Macaca mulatta: one gene and its partner. The protein of the gene in region 2 purifies or fractionates together with the protein of the main gene of each other region. This does not show direct contact. Links are inferred from orthologs where the notes say so. Each region holds a gene or a part of one and is shown on either strand. Other genes may lie near its edges.

What was found.
Region 1: the proteins of RPS6KA1 (region 2) and CSNK2B purify together in Homo sapiens (affinity purification with mass spectrometry; 4 studies listed by BioGRID and IntAct, with this or other methods). This does not show direct contact. The link is inferred for Macaca mulatta from reciprocal best matches to the Homo sapiens genes RPS6KA1 and CSNK2B.

The regions. Positions count from the first base shown.
Region 1 is NC_133409.1:150,652,627-150,656,931, forward strand, and holds the start of CSNK2B (casein kinase II subunit beta), read right to left. Parts: upstream 3,092-4,305; 5' UTR 3,045-3,091; intron 2,462-3,044; 5' UTR 2,451-2,461; coding exon 2,379-2,450; intron 1,431-2,378; coding exon 1,328-1,430; intron 765-1,327; coding exon 649-764; intron 207-648; coding exon 131-206; intron 1-130. UniProt on the Homo sapiens protein: Regulatory subunit of casein kinase II/CK2.
Region 2 is NC_133406.1:214,427,769-214,431,574, reverse strand, and holds part of RPS6KA1 (ribosomal protein S6 kinase alpha-1), read left to right. Parts: intron 1-1,118; coding exon 1,119-1,249; intron 1,250-3,051; coding exon 3,052-3,177; intron 3,178-3,371; coding exon 3,372-3,461; intron 3,462-3,806. UniProt on the Homo sapiens protein: Serine/threonine-protein kinase that acts downstream of ERK (MAPK1/ERK2 and MAPK3/ERK1) signaling and mediates mitogenic and stress-induced activation of the transcription factors CREB1, ETV1/ER81 and NR4A1/NUR77, regulates translation through RPS6 and EIF4B phosphorylation, and mediates cellular proliferation, survival, and differentiation by modulating mTOR signaling and repressing pro-apoptotic function of BAD and DAPK1.

The DNA of each region.
Region 1 (4,305 bases), on a different chromosome or scaffold from region 2:
CTCAGGAGGCCAGGTATCTCCCTGTTCCTACTTAACCTCCCCTCAGGACTCAGGCCCCAACATGCTGAGCCCTAACTCCTTCCCGTAAGACTGCCACAAGGTGCCTTCCTTTCCCTTCTTCAACACTCACCGATGGGAAGCATTGGCTGGTTCTCACAGTACACACGAGGACAGTAACCAAAGTCTCCCTGCTGGTACTTTTCCAACTGAGGTGAATAAAATGGAAGGGGTTGGCAGGTAGGTGTGAAGAGAAGAGGCAACTCCCTTCTCAGCTCAACCCATATCACTCTGTCCCCCACTCCTCCCACCTCTGTCCAGAGGCCCCTTCTCTGGCCCAGATGGGCTCTCAAACTCCTATGTTGCCTTTCTTCCAGTTAGGCAGGCTACAAACCATCAGAGCCATTTGTTGTTTGTTCCCTGAGGAAGAGGCAGTCTATCACAACTCTCTGTTCAAGGACTGTCTCCCTCCCTGAAAATTATCCCTTCAGGATGACCCCCAATCAGAATTCAATTCCCAGGCCCAAGCCTGGGGTTCTTCTCCTCTTCTCAGCCAGTTTCCTTAAACAAGGCTTAAACATGACTTCTTGCTGCAGGAACCTGTGTCCCTTACTGCTCAGAAGGAGGCAATTAGGAGCAGAGAGGCCTCACCATCTGGGCAATGCCACGGTTGGTAAGGATGTAGCGGGCGTGGATCAATCCATAAAGCATCTCGGCAGCCTGCTCAATCAGGTCACTCTGGTTGGGGTTGTCTTCCAGTTCTTCATCTGAAACACAGCCCGGCCAAATGCAACCACTTGTTTTTCAGCTTTCCTAGGTGCCCTGCCCATATCCAGGGGGTGCGGACTATTCAGTTCGCCTGGCACCTACTTTTGGGCCTTACCCCATCCAACATCTGGGCATGTGACCCAGAAACCTGGGCTTCTGACCCTTGCGCCAACCCAAGACAGCTCTGTCTTCTCTTCACACCTCTTTAGCCTCCGCTCCCCACTCTCCCTCCCAGCTCCCTCCCCAATACATAACTGCAACAATGTCAATGCAAAAGATGAAACTCTAGACTGGAAGGTGCAAAGCAGGAGAAATAGCAAACCAGACCCATGAGGAAACATATTTTGGAAAACATCTGAATTGTGGATTTAGAAAACATGGGAACAAGTGATATACGTCACAAAACTAGACACAGTCAGGTGGAGGATCAAAATAAAGCATGAATTTGGGGTTAAAGAAATCAGAGAACCAAAGGAAATTTCAAAATTCAAGTAAGTGAATATAGATTTGAAGAGAAAAAAAGTGCATGCACACACACAAAACAACCCTGAGGGTGCCTCACCAGGCTCCAGGTCCAAGATCATGTCTAGAGCTTGTCGATAGTGAGGAACCTGCTCATTGAGTCCAGTAAGATTAAATTTGTCCTGAATGTAGTCTTCATCCACCTGTGGGGACATGGAAGCCAAGAGGGAACCCATATCAAAATCCCCATCTTTGACCTGGGCAAAATGCTCTAACTGATGCCTTATCATCAACACAACTGCATCTGTTCCGCTTGTTTCTCACTCCCAACTCAGCAGAAGTACTTGCGTCTCTCCCTAGTTCACCTATACTCCCTCCCATAAAGCTTTGGCTTTTCTTTTCTAAGGATAAGCAGGTACAGCAATCTTTTTCTTAGACATTCTTTTCAAGATCTCTGTCCCTACTCCTGTACTCCATCTCTAGGAACCAGTTTTGTCCTCTCAGCTGGCTGAGGAGGATGGAAGCTGAACGGCATGGTTTCTGAACAAAACATTTCAATACGTAGCATTTCAATTTTCCTAACAGCCAGCTGAGACATGTACTAGCAGTACAACTTTAGTAATAAAAGATACAGGCTGGGCGCAATGGCTTATGCCTGTAATCCCAGCACTTTGGGAGGCTGAGGCGGGCAGATCACCTGAGGTCTGGAGTTTGAGACCAGCCTGGCCAACATGGTGAAACCCTGTCTCTACTAAAAATCCAAAAATTAGCCGGGTGTGGTGGCGGGTACTTGTAATCCCAGCTACTTGGGTGGCTGGAGCAGGAGAATCGCTTGAACCTGGGAGGCAGAGGTCGCAGTGAGCCGAGATCGCACCACTACACTCCAGCCTGGGCGACACAGTGAGACCCAGTCTCAAAAAAAAGATAAAGAAAAAGACACAAATTGCCTGCTGGAGGGTGGCAGAGTCAAAACTTGGGCCCCAGTTTTGCCACTTTAGCACAGGTTCGTCGGGGGTTATTGAGGGGACTCTTCGTTGATGGGAAGTTTTCAAGTAGTATGTAAGAGAACAGTGTAGAAGTGGAATACGTGAAGGAACATCTGGTGGGAAGATATGTGAAGCCAGCAAGTAGGGAGGTCGAAGAGAACTCACTTCACAGAAGAATTCATTGCCACGGAGCCCACAGAACCAGGAAATCCAGGACACCTCCTCTGAGCTGCTCATCTTCACGTCAGCTGAAAAAAAGAGTGTCAGTAAAGCTCAAGTTCTCCTTCCCTGCCTCGGGTATCCTCCCTCCTCCCACATTAGAACCACCCTTTCTTAAAGGATCCCAAACTCTGAAGCACTCCTCTCCAACTCCTCCAATTTACATCTCAGTTCCCTTTTCTTTGACGTTAAACATTCTTTGGGGTCCCACCACTTGAAAGAAGCCAACAGATACTTTGACCCACCAGCCCGACCCACGTCCCTGGAGCTCCCGAAAGCCAGGGCCCTCTCTTCTCTGTGTCAACTCCGGCAGGGACCTCGACTCAGGCTCCGTACCAATGCAAGTCTCTGCACGACCCCGGCGCCTTTCCCAAGGATTTCAAAGTTTATCACTCTCAAGCAAGAATCGGGCCCCTCCTTTTCTCAAGGGTTGGGGGCGACTGTCAGGTCCCTTTCACCGGATTCCACACATCCCCCCTCCGCTCCTCAAGCCACCTCTCCCTCCTTGCCGGACCTGGTTGCTTCCTCCCCCCGCCCCCATATCAAAGTGCGGAGACCCATGTGCGGCTCCCAGCGACAAGCGACTAGGAGCAGCGAAGACCTCAGACTCACCAGCTGGACGGGGACCAGGACTGGGGTGGGGTAGGGAAGTTGCTACTTCGAAGGAACGGCGGCGACCGCTACAGCGCAGGCCGCGGACCCGACCGCGGCAGGCGAAGTGGGGTGGGGGGAGTGGAAATTGGGGAGGGTGGGGAAGAGGGCAACACGCAAGCGCCAAGGGTCAGGTGCCGCGGTGGATGCCGGGACGCGGAGTCCCCGGTAGAGAGAGAAACCGGCTAAGTGAGGGAAAGCGAACTACCAATCCCAGGATGACCCGCGCACGACCTGGCTGTCACGAATCCCCGGAGGAGGACGCTTGCGGGCGGGGCGCAACGAGAAGCCACCGGAAGCGGAAACCAGGTATGGCGTTCGGGGCCTGGGAGCCTGGGCAATACAGTTGTGTGCTCACTGGGCGAAGAAGCTGACTTAGGGCGGGGAAAGGAGGGAGCCAGGCTGGACCCCTCCTCGCAGCTCTCCTCACAGTTGCCCTCTAGTCCCGGCGCGGTGCTGCTTCCCTGGGGACTGGCCTATCCTTGGCCAATGCGCTGGGTCCTTATTGCCTGTTGGGCCCCTAGTGCGAGTCAGTCCCGCCAGAGACCCTTGACGGGCCTTCTGTTTTACTCCGGGCTCCGGCCTCATGAGGCGAGAGGTGCGGCTTGGCTCCGTGCGTAGGGACTTGGGTTGGGAGGGCTGGGCTGGGCTGGGCTGTGTGAGAACCAGAACGGCCCAGTGCGCTAACCTGAGGTGGTGCCAGCCATTCTGCTCGTCCCCTTGCACTTCTCCATTTCCCCTTAGTCTCTAAGTGTGACCTTCGAACCCTGGTCAGAGTAATGGTGAGGGGCAGGCGTGACGTTATTTCATTACACGGCTTCTCGGCATTCCACAGGTTTCCCTCCGCCTCCTGAGGGCCTTTCCTAACCCAGAGAGTGGATTCCTAGCTCCAGAAAATGGGCTTGGAGCGGGGGCCACGTAGAGGAAGGCGAAGGGCATTGTGGGGGCGTTATGTAAAAGTAGGACCCCAACCGACAGATCCTAGCGCTCGCGCCACCTGGGCGCGCGGAGCTTTGCTCGTTTACTATTGGAAAAGTTCCAGCGCGGGAAACTGAACCGGGAGCTTTGCGCACGCCTGAGCCATCAAGTAATGTGGGTGGTGGTTTTTGTTGTTGTTGTCGCCACGCATGCGTCTCCGTGCCGTGTGGCTATTTGATTGTGTCAACTCTGCTGATCAGAATAGCGCCATTTTGCGGTACGGAAGCTACACGGCAACACGTAT
Region 2 (3,806 bases):
GTTTGTTTGTTTGTTTGTTTGTTTTTGAGACGAAGTCTCACTCTGCCGCCCAGGCTGAAGTGCAGTGGCCGGATCTTGGCTCACTGCAAGCTCCACCTCCTGGGTTTACGCCATTCTCCTGCCTCAGCCTCCCTGGTAGCTGGGACTACAGGCGCCCGCCACCCGCCCGGCTAGTTTTTTGTATTTTTTTTTTAGTAGAGATGGGGTTTCACCGTGTTAGCCAGGATGGTCTCGATCTCCTGACCTCGTGATCTGCCCGTCTCGGCCTCCCAAAGTGCTGGGATTACAGGCTTGAGCCACCGCGCCCGGCCAATTTTTGTATTTTTAGTAGAGACGGGGTTTCACCATGTTGGCCAAGCTGGTCTGGAACTCCTAACCTCAAATGATCCACGATGGGGTGCTTTTCTCACTGTACTTGCACACCTCTGATGACAGGGACAGCAGTTCTCTAAGCAGTCTGCTGGGCAGTGTGACAGGTGCAGCTTTGTAGGAGTCAGGGGCCAGAGAAGCAGCATGAGGCAAGGCTTCTCAGAGGAGGGAGCGAGTGAGCTGAGTCCTGAAGGATAGGCAAGCAATGGATTATCTAGTTAAAGGGAACAGTGTGTGCAAGGGCTCAGAGACCCCTTTAAGGATCTGGGAAGTCCAACGTGGCTCAGCTGTGGTGTGGAGAGAGAAGAGGAGGATCACAAGGCCCTCCATTGCCAGACTCAGAAGCTGGGCTTACTCCTGAAGGCAGAGGGGCACCTTTGAAAGGTGCGGGCAGGGTGGTAGATTTGTGGTTGGAACCTTCCCTTTGGCTACTGTGCAGGGATGGACCTGAAGGGGCTGATGTAAGACGGAGAAGCTGGGGAGGGAGCATCCAGGAAGGGACGAACTGTCTTGGCCTGGGATGGAAGTGGATGTGAGAGTCTTTAATGTTCCTCATGCATCAGGACTGGACTGGTCTAAACACATATGAGCAGTCGGGCTAAGGCCTGGGATGGACAGGCCCTCTGCAGGCTCCTGCCATGGCCAGCCCCTGAGGCAGGTCTCAGGCCCTGTGCTCCCCCTTTGCTGGGCTGCCTCAGGGTCGAGGGGACCTCCTCAGGTACCCTCACATTCCCCTCCTGCCCCTACAGATTCCCCAGGCATCCCCCCTAGCGCTGGGGCCCATCAGCTGTTCCGGGGCTTCAGCTTCGTGGCCACTGGCCTGATGGAGGACGACGGCAAGCCTCGCGCCCCGCAGGCACCCCTGCACTCGGTGGTACAGGTGAGGGGGGCAGGGGCTGCTGCTCCGTTATCCTTTTCTAAAGAATGGCTGTGAATACAGGCTCTGAGTTGGACAGAACCGGGTTCATACCCTCGTGCCACTGTGGGACCCGTAGGGTCTCCAACATAAAACAGGGACAGTAAGGCCCACCTCACACTGTGGCCCTGATAATTGGATGATGATATGGCTATACATTTCCCAGCACAGAGCAGGGTCTGGGTACATGCCAGGGGGTGCCCAGGGTGATGGTGCAGAGTGACTGTCGTGTCTCTGGCATAAGGGTAGCAAAGAACTTGTATCTCTTCACACTTGTTCCCCATTTGTACACTTCCACTGCCTCATGAAAGTTTCAGGTTGAGAGGCAAGAATGTAGACTGTGCAGCTCATTGCATGGGTTCCAGATTCACAAGATAATGGACGTTGGGGTTTTTTTTGTTTGTTTTTGAGACATAGTCTTGCTCTGTTGCCCAGGCTGGAGTGCAGTGGCACAATCTCAGCTCACTGCAGCCTCCACCTCCCAGGTTCAAGCAGTTCTCCTGCCTCAGCCTCCCGAATAGCTGGGACTACAGATGTACACCACCACACCCAGCTAATTTTGTTGTTGTTGTATTTTTAGTACAGATGGGATTTTACCATGTTGGCTAGGTGTCAAACTCCTGACCTCAAGTGATCCACCCACCTCAGCCTCCCAAAGTGCTGAGATTACAGACATGAGCACCCGACCAGATAATGGACTTTAGATGAGATACTTCCCTTCCTGGTGCCTCAGTTTCCTTATCTGTAAATGGGGAAATGATAGAATCTTCCTCCATAGAGCTATTATGAGGATTATTAGAGTTAATACATGTAAAGTTAAAGTGGGCTGGGCACAGTGGCTCATGCCTGTAATGCCAGCACTTTGGGAGGTCGAGGAGGGTGGATTGCTTGAGGCAGGAATTTAAACAGACCCGTCTGGCCGACATGGTGAAACCCCATCTCTAAAACTACAAAAATCTGATGGGCGTGTTGGCATGTGCCTATAGTCCCAGCTACTTGGGAGGCTGAGACACGAGAATTGCTTGAACCCGGGAGGCAGAGGTTGCAGTGAGCCGAGAATGCACCACTGCACTCCAGCCTAGCAACAGCGCAAGACTCTATCTCAAAAAATAAATAAATAAAAAATAAAGTTAAGGTGACTATGTAATTTATTTTCCAAACTGGGACATCTTTATCCAGGACAAATATTAAATCAGACTGGATGCAAGGACCGCAGGCGCAAGCCAGGGCTGGCCGTGGGGCATGTAGTCACCTGATGAAAGTGCTTAGAATACTGCCTGGCACGCAGCACACACTAAGCACCATTCAGCATTGCTATGGCTAATGTCCCAGAACCTTGAGACACCCCCTGAGTTGAGCTGTGACACCCCAGAAAGGGGAGGCAAGTCACTCAAAGCCATACTTAGTGGCACAGCTGGAACTCAGCTCAGGGCTCCTGCGTCCCTCCCAGGCCTGCCCAGGCTTTTCAGAACTAAAGTCCTCTCCATGTGTGTTGTGACCCTCTTGCCCACTCCCTGCGCTGCCCTCTGACCACAGGCTGCAGTCCAGGCAGGCTGGGAGCCAGCGAGTATGCCCAACATATAGAGTAGAAAACTGAGGCCCAGAGAGGGGCAGGCTCTCACCTGCAGTCACATGGCCAACACTCTACGCCAAGTCTCCTGGCCCTTCCCCGGTGCTGTCTCTACTGAGCCAAGACCTTGAATGCTGGGAGATGACCCTTAGCACTCTGGAGCCAGGGGTCAGCCACAATTTTTGGTCTCCTACAGCAACTCCATGGGAAGAACCTGGTTTTTAGCGACGGCTACGTGGTAAAGGAGACGATTGGTGTGGGCTCCTACTCTGTGTGCAAGCGCTGTGTCCACAAGGCCACCAACATGGAGTATGCTGTCAAGGTGGGCCTCCTGACCACGTCTCAGCCAAGGCTGCCGGGCCGGGGGCAGGTCCCCGTCTGGTGGGGAGGGGTGGTGCCTGAGCTCTGCAGATGTATGAAAGATTGTGTGGCCGAGACCTCCAGGCCTGCTCCATGGCAAGGAAGGACCCTGGAGCCTGTCACCCTGACACTGCCACATGCACCCACTTTCTTCAGGTCATTGATAAGAGCAAGCGGGATCCTTCAGAAGAGATTGAGATTCTTCTGCGGTACGGCCAGCACCCCAACATCATTACTCTGAAAGATGTGAGTGGGGTGGGGACCAGGAACTCGACTCTCTAGGATTTGTCTCAGGGTTGCCATTCCTTTGACTTCTCATCCTCTTTCCGGTGGTCATGTGGAGGGGAAAGAGGTCCCTTGGTCCCTCCAGTCTGCCCATCCCCCAAGGGCCCTCCTTCAGACTCAGGCATTTTCTGAGGACGTTCTTGCCTATCAGGGGACCAGTGTCAGCATCCTCCTTTTGGGGAAGGCGGGGCCACTGAAGAGCAAGCAGAATACCTGCCTAAGGCTCATGTCATTCTTCCCTGCTCTGGGGCGCTGCTGACCAGGGGGCCCAGGCCTGACACTGGGGAGAAGAGCCTGATGGTGAGG